Linked DNA regions of Cricetulus griseus. The protein of the gene in region 1 interacts with the protein of each later gene in a biochemical or structural test. Links are inferred from orthologs where the notes say so. Each region holds a gene or a part of one and is shown on either strand. Other genes may lie near its edges.

Region 1 (4,282 bases):
TACTTCTGCTGGTCTCTAGGCCGCAGCTACAAGCCCTATACCCACAGATGGACAGTAAAATTACATAGTGCTCGGGGTTGGAGAGATGGCTCAGAGGTTAAAAGCACTGGCTGCTCTTCCATAGGTCCTGAGTTCAATTCCGGGCAACCACATGGTGGCTCACAACCATCTGTAATGAGATCTGGTGCCCTCTTCTGGTGTGCAAGCATGAATGCAGACAACTATATTCATAATAAATAAATAAAATCTAAAAAAAAAAAAATAAGAATTGCTTTTAAAACAATTACACAGTGCTCACCCTCGGTTGCACGACAGAAATCTATTTTAAGGAGCAAGGGTCCCGATGTCCTTGAATGTCTGTGCTCAAGAACAGTACGAGTTTTAAACTAGTTTCCATCCATCGGAATCTGGCTTTGCGATGGGATGAAGGGGAGCCCAGACAACGTCCCTCAATAACGCCCAGGCTCTGCCTTTGCTGAGCCCACAGACAGCAAACACCCATTCTAGCCCGCTCCGCCTAAGCGCAAGAGTGGATGGAAACAGCGGGCACCAAACGGCCGCTACGCGACTCGCTCCAAAAAAAAAAAGAAAAAAAAAAACGCCTGCCAGCCCCGCTTCCTGCTCTGCTGGGTGTGCGCAGCCGCCGGGCCGCCGAATAGGCACCTCCACGAACGGAAACAGCCGAGCTCAACCGAAGAAGGCCGAACCCCAACCGAGGAGCAACCGAAGAAGGCCGAAACCCAACCGAGGAGCAACCGAAGAAGGCCGAACCCCAACCGAGGAGCCAACGGAGGGGAGGGAGGGGGCCGCGCAGGCGCAGCCCGCAGCCGGGGGAGGGGGGGACCAGGAAGAACCGAAGCGGGGGGCAGGCAGGCGGCGGAAAGTGCCGAAGCGGCGGGGGGGGGCGCCCGAAGGCCGTTGCGGACCTCCGCACCGAAGCCGCGCCTGCCGCGGGAGCTGAGCCTCCACCGGTAACCCTGCCGCCGCCAGCGCGGCTGCCGCCTCCTCCGCCTCCCACCTCACCGCAGCCTCCTCGCAGAGGGAGGGAGGGAGCAAGCAGGCGGGAGAGCGGAGCGGCGGAGCCGGGAAGGGAAGCGGCCGCAGCGGGGGCCCTCTCGCAAGACCTGAGCGGAAGAGGGGAACGGGGAGGAGGAGGAGGAGGAGGAGCAGGAGCAGGAGGAGGAGGAGGAGGAGGGCGCGGGGGTGGGGGCGGGGCGGGCGCCCGAGAGCAGGGGCGGGGCCGACGAGAGCCGAGTCCTCCCGAGCGCCTCCGAACGCACCCGAGGCGCTGAGCCAGGCCGAGAGCCGGACTACGGGAGCCGAGGCGGGCCGTGCGGTGGGCGCGGAGCAGCGCGGCAGGCAGGCCGGGCGGGCGGCGGCGGCGGCAGCGGAGGAAGAAGAAGAAGAAGAGGAGGAGGAGGAGGAGGAGCGGGAGGCCGCGGCAGCGGGTCCGAGGAGCGGAAGCGGCGCAGGAGGCGGCCGGGGGGGCCGGGTGGCCGGGGTCCCGGGCCCCGCGGCGGCGGCGGCGGCGGCGGCGGCGACAGGATGATCAAGCTGTTCTCGCTGAAGCAGCAGAAGAAGGAGGAGGAGTCGGCCGGCGGCACCAAGGGCAGCAGCAAGAAGGCGTCGGCGGCGCAGCTCCGGATCCAGAAGGTAGGGGCTGGGGTGGGGTGCGGTGGGTGGGGTGCGGGTGGGGGGGTGTCGGGGAGCCCGGGGTGCGAAGGTGCAGCCGCTGAGGTGGCGGGGCGGCGGGCGGGCGGAGGGGGGAGGGCGGGGAGGGGGTATCGGAAGTCGGGGTGGGGGGGGGGCTGCGCTGCGGGACGGGGGTGCGGTCGCTAGGGAGGGCCGGTCCGAGCCGGGGGCCCCGGGTGAGGCCTTGGGAGGGACCCTGAGGCCTGGAGGGTTAGGGCGCCGGGGATCCGGTAGGGGACCGGGGGGGGGGAGAGTTTGAGAGTCCCACGGGAACTTGGCGGGGGTGACGACGGGCCGTGGAGACAGGGGTGAAGGTTGCGAATCGGAGAGGAGGAGGAGGAGGGGGAGGAAGGACACGGCCTCGGGTCATGATGTTGGGAGACCTGGAGCCCCGGGACTCCGGGACGAGGGGGAGGGGACGGGAGGGGAGGGCAGAGCAGTTTTGAGTTTGAGGTGAAAGGCGGGGGGGGGGGAGGAGGAAAGCAGGTGACAGGAACTAAAAATAAATAAATAGATAGATAGATACATAGATGGATAAAATAAAGATGGGAGTCGGGGTCCATGGAAGCTACTACCATGCTAGGAGTCTTCACGAGTCAGATGAGAAGAAGCGGCGCGTGGAATAACCACCCCCCCACCCCCGAGAAACAGGAAGAAGGACAAGGGGAGGCTGTGGATAGTTGATGGGAAGGGCCGATCTAGCGTGGGAAGGGTCCTCGAATGAGGACGGACGGGTAAACCAGTCGCGAGTGGAGGTCATGACCACGCAGCCTCAAGTTTAGAATGCTCAGGGGCAATCTCTTGGAAGCCAGAGGTTCTTGGGCCCTCACTGCATTGTGGGAAGGGTGGTGGTGGTGGTGGTGGTGGTGGGGATTTAGTTGGGTTAATCAAGGTTGGCCCTTCCCGAGAGATAGGCGTCCGGTTACAACTGAAGATGCTCACGTGTGGGGATACTATGTATCCACCAGAGTCCACCGAGAGACTGGAAAGTGGGAAGAGTGTGTAGGACTCACCCTGCGAGGTGTGAGGCCACCACACGCCGGGGCCCTACAGGTCAGGAAGGAGAACTTGGGAAGTCCTGCTAACACCTGCCCAGACCTTCACGCCGTCGTTTGCTCTCCCTCTCACTGTTGCCTAAACCTAGACATTAACGAGCTGAACCTGCCCAAGACTTGTGACATCAGCTTCTCAGACCCAGACGACCTCCTCAACTTCAAGCTGGTTATCTGTCCTGATGAGGTGAGAGTAAAACGTGGGTGGCAGGGTTCCCAAGAACAGACCCCGGGGTGGGGGTGCTGTCCGCCCATAGAGAATGGGAAACCCTAAGAATGGGGGGTCTTAATTCCTTCTTCGCTCCCTTTCCCAGGGCTTCTACAAGAGTGGGAAGTTTGTGTTCAGTTTTAAGGTGAGTCCCAGGTGGACCGAGGTGGCTCGGTGGAGAAGTAGCAGCAGCTGAGGCATAGCCAAAACACCTGCCCCTCTCATTTCCCTTTTTTTCTGGGGCCAGGTGGGACAAGGTTATCCACATGACCCCCCCAAGGTGAAGTGTGAGACAATGGTTTATCACCCTAACATTGACCTCGAGGGCAACGTCTGTCTCAACATCCTCAGGTGATGGCCCTGCCTCCCCTTTCCCTCCCGAGGCCCACCTCTGCTCTGCTCTGCCCTTTACCGTCTGTGATTCTGTCTTCGCATTTCTACGTTGTCTTCCTAATAGCCCAGCCTTGGCTTTCTCCATGGCCTGCCCCGTTCCATGTCTTACCCCTTCCTTACCTCTCACTCTTCAGGGTTACGGGCCTCCTATGGGCCTGACCTGTTTGGTACTAGCAGGGCCTGTTGAAGCCTCCCACTCACCAACATGTGATAACCTTGATGCTCTCTGCCCACAGAGAGGACTGGAAGCCAGTCCTTACGATAAACTCCATAATTTATGGCCTGCAGTATCTCTTCTTGGTGAGTAGGCACAGGCATTTGAGGCGGGGGTTTGTTGGCCATCTGCCTCTCTTGCCTGTTAACTTCCACTTGTGCTGGCCACAGGAGCCCAACCCCGAGGACCCACTGAACAAGGAGGCCGCCGAGGTCCTGCAGAACAACCGGCGGCTGTTTGAACAAAACGTGCAGCGCTCCATGAGAGGTGGTTACATCGGGTCCACCTACTTTGAGCGCTGCCTGAAATAGGGTTAGCAAATACCCATCCCTGCCAGGGTCACCAGCCCAGGCATCCCCTGCAAATATTTATTGGGGGCCCGGGTAGGATATGTGGGGTAGCCTTGGCCCCTGCCTTGGCCTTACCTCTCCTCCCTGTCACCTGTCCCTAGTTATTTTTTTTTTAACCACCACGTGATTATGGTCGGTGCTGCCTTTTCCCGACCTGCTCAGCGATGGGAAATGAATTGGCCTGTTTAGCGCCCCCCCCTCCCGCTGGGTGCTGTCCAATACCCCACTCTTGACTGTGGGGTAAGTGGGCAATGAGCCTGGGTCACTGGTCCCAGGCAACCCACCCCACCACCACTGGAGGTCCCACCAGGCTATTAAAGGGGAATGTTACTGCATGGCCTGTGCCTCTTCCTTCTGTGGGGTGGGAGGGACA
Region 2 (3,500 bases), on another chromosome or scaffold:
TAGGTACAGCTTCCCCTTCAGATCCTAAGTGGTTTTATTTTATGAGTGTACTTACATTTTCTCACTAATATTGTAGGATAAAGATCAGAGAAGCCTTGATATTGATACTGCTAAGTCTATGTTAGCTCTGCTGCTTGGGAGAACATGGCCGCTCTTTTCAGTATTTTATCAGTACCTGGAGGTATGTATGGGCATTTTAAAATGTTTGAAAATGCATTTTTAAGGAACAAATTCTGTACTTTAAAATTTTTATATGAGTAATTAAATCTGCTAAAATATGTACCATATTGTCAGTTTTAGACATAAATTTGTATTATTTATATATTCTGTACATAATATAGTTGGGAACTGGAGTGTAATTTGGTGATAGAACACGTGCTTTGCATTTTAAGGGATTTTCGTTCTCCCTAGGAGGAATCCCAGGAAAACTATTTTATCATAGACATTTCCTATAAACCTAATTTCTTGAGGTTTTAATGTTAATATTTTGTACGCACAGATCTGAGCATGGCTGTAACAGTTATCCACTGCACTGCTGACTCTGCAGTGTGTGCTGCATCACAGAATAAACATCCCGTAGGAGCTGTGCTGCACCTGCCAGCTAGCTCAAGACATCTGCTTTTCCACTCTTCGCTTTGTGTGATTCTGTTTAGTTTTAAACCTTTCCGCTTGAGTTTTGGGGACATATGTCTAACCATTTCTTAAATAGAGCTGCCTTTTCTATCAGAAATAACATCATGTCATGTGGTTTACTTGTCACAGTAACTTTTCCAGAGCACTTTTATTTAAAACCTGGAGAAATGAGTTTTGTACATTGGTAAATTTTTATGGCAAGTAAAAGTTGACATTTTTGATTAATGATACATATCTTCCTCCTGTTAGTCGATCAAAAATACATTTAGCTAAATACAAAAATATTAACTTCTGTGGGGCTCTGAAAAAAAAAAAAAACGAGATATGTTCAAGCAAGTTTTACCATTTAGTAGTTGAGGAAATCAGGTATGGGATTAGCTTAGTATTGGATTTTTATTTTTGTTGTTTGGTGGTAGTGGTGATTGGGTTTTGTTTTGGGGGGAAATGGTTTGTGTTTTGATGGAGGCATTGACAGAGAGTCTTGCTAGATAGCCCAGGCCATCCTTGAACTCATGATCATCCTGTCTCTGCTTCCCAAGTGCTGGGATCACAGGTGTGTGTCACCATACCTAGTTGTCCTGCTGGGGAAGAAACCCTGAGCACCTGCCCACCAAGCTCTCTGCCACAGAAGTCACTTTCCCAAGAGCACTCAATTGAGTGTTCACGTTGTGATTCAGATCCAAGCTCATAGTGTTCCCACTACTGCTGTGGATGCTCTCTTCAAAATGTAGCTGATGCACACAAATACATTCTGTATAGTGGAAACCACACTGTCAGACCAACTGAGTGTTCTAGTGGAGAGCCACATGGGTGTACATACATGTAAATCTCAGTGTTAGTCTTACTGCCTTTCAGAAAAGAAAATATATGATAACCTAAAGGAGTCTAGAACAGCACGTAGTTAAGAAAGGAAGAAATATGTTAGAAAAGACCAAATAAATGGAAAATGAGAGTCACTAAATTCAAGCCCCAATAAGAATGTTGGTTCTGTAGTCCACATTTTTATATCATTTTCCACAGCAATCAAAGTATCGAGTTATGAACAAAGATCAGTGGTACAATGTATTAGAATTCAGCAGAACAGTTCATGCCGATCTTAGTAACTACGATGAAGATGGTGCTTGTAAGTATATCATGCATTCCTATGAAAATAAAATTCCTAAAAATGTTAAACGAATTTGTGCATTCTGAGGCATTAACAGAAAGTTTGAAATAGTGTAACAGTAACTCATTATTTAGTCAGGATATGGGGGAGGCAGAGTCTAGGTTCAGCAATGTTGTAAAATCTATGCTAGTGAATAAGTGACTAGACATTACAGCTAAATGATCATTTCTCAAGCTAGAAGCCAAAATCCTACTTTTTACTTGCCTTTTCAGTAGAAGGAAAGTTTCACTCATGCATTAAAAGGACAAAGGCACAACTAATAAGCCAACTTAATTCTGTAGAATTCTTAATTAAACTTAAATCTCTACTGTCACTTGGAGCGCTGCAGTGTTTCAGTGTTCATATGGGGTACGTGGAAAGGTGCCTTGCTTTATAACAAAAATGGACATAGCACACTTGATGCAAAAGAGACAAGGTACTACCAAAGAGATAGCCTGCCTCGAGTATATAGTGTTTTTTCCCTACAGGATCACGTAGAATTTAATTCTTGTTTGAAGAAATACTTATTTTCTGCAGTAGGCTAACAGCCCGAGAGCTACATAGAGCCTGCAGACATGTATATCTGTGTATGTTGAGCCAACATTTAAAACTGAGAGGTTTGGTATAAAAATAAACTTGTACATTTATTTGAACTATCAGAAAATCTGACACATTGCACCTGTATTCCTTTGTAGGTTTCAGAGGTTGGAACCAAGTAGTGGCTTGTGTTGAACTTGCTCTCCAGTTTGGCAGTCCACGCAGTATTCCAACATTGCCATTTACTGCTTTGCCTGCCCGGCTGTTTTTGTATGGTCTGCTAAAAGCAAGAGAGAAAAGAACACCCAGAGGTTTTATGTTTTGAGAAAAACAAGACAAGCATATCTCTTCGTGGTCATACTTTCCATACATTTTGAGATACTGAATTCCATACATCACAAATACTGAAACCTCATTTAAATTGCCCACTTGGCTTCTGTTGGTAAACATTTGGAACCTCTACATTCTAAAACTTCTTTTTTAGACTAGCAGTCAGTTAGGTAGTAGGTGTTTGCTTTATGCTATTCTTTTTACTGTGTCTCATTTTTAGAATAAAGTTAGTCTCACGTGGCCATTCCCCCTTAACAAGTGCTCATACTTGTTGATGTAGCAGAAATATGTTTGCTGAGTGTTTAACACCAGTGCTGTGGGGAAAGGTTCGTTTTGTCTCATTTATAGGGGAGTTCATGAAACACTCCTAGAGAAGGAAATAACCCTGGGGAAAGAAAACAAACAGAAAGCAGTAGCTGAAGGACAGGTTAGGTGGGCCCTTGCCACCTCAGAGCTTGTTAGAGGGATGAGTCTACTGAATCTTAACAACTTGTTTCTTCTGTCTAGGGCCGGTTCTACTTGATGAATTTGTTGAGTGGCAAAAAATCCGTCAAACATCATAGCAAGAACTGTTGTGAAGAAAATGCAAATCTTGTGAAGAAAATACAGAAAGAGGGAGGATATACAAGGGTGCATTTTCACTCACGAAAGACTTCTCATAGTACTTTTTTCCTTTTTTTTAAAGGAAGTTTTCTTGTTACATGTGATGGGCACTGAGCCACACGTCTTCTGAGACTGAATATTGACGTTTTTGTTTCAAGTTATGTTTTTAACATTTATTTCAGAACAATAAAGATTCAGATTTGTGACAAAGGCCTTAAAGTGAAGATGTCCATTGAGTGTCAGTGGTATTTAT

Evidence for each region.
Region 2: the proteins of Ube2m (region 1) and Dcun1d5 form a complex in vitro, tested with the Homo sapiens proteins (3 studies listed by BioGRID). The link is inferred for Cricetulus griseus from reciprocal best matches to the Homo sapiens genes UBE2M and DCUN1D5.

Annotation. Positions count from the first base shown.
Region 1 is NC_048602.1:25,624,911-25,629,192, reverse strand, and holds Ube2m (NEDD8-conjugating enzyme Ubc12), read left to right. Parts: upstream 1-1,482; 5' UTR 1,483-1,545; coding exon 1,546-1,653; intron 1,654-2,460; exon of another isoform or gene 2,461-2,475; coding exon of another isoform or gene 2,476-2,506; intron 2,507-2,835; coding exon 2,836-2,931; intron 2,932-3,058; coding exon 3,059-3,097; intron 3,098-3,199; coding exon 3,200-3,303; intron 3,304-3,581; coding exon 3,582-3,645; intron 3,646-3,729; coding exon 3,730-3,870; 3' UTR 3,871-4,244; downstream 4,245-4,282.
Region 2 is NC_048597.1:121,723,771-121,727,270, forward strand, and holds the end of Dcun1d5 (DCN1-like protein 5), read left to right. Parts: intron 1-76; coding exon 77-181; intron 182-1,653; coding exon 1,654-1,756; intron 1,757-2,472; coding exon 2,473-2,481; intron 2,482-3,151; coding exon 3,152-3,207; 3' UTR 3,208-3,348; downstream 3,349-3,500. UniProt on the Homo sapiens protein: Contributes to the neddylation of all cullins by transferring NEDD8 from N-terminally acetylated NEDD8-conjugating E2s enzyme to different cullin C-terminal domain-RBX complexes which is necessary for the activation of cullin-RING E3 ubiquitin ligases (CRLs).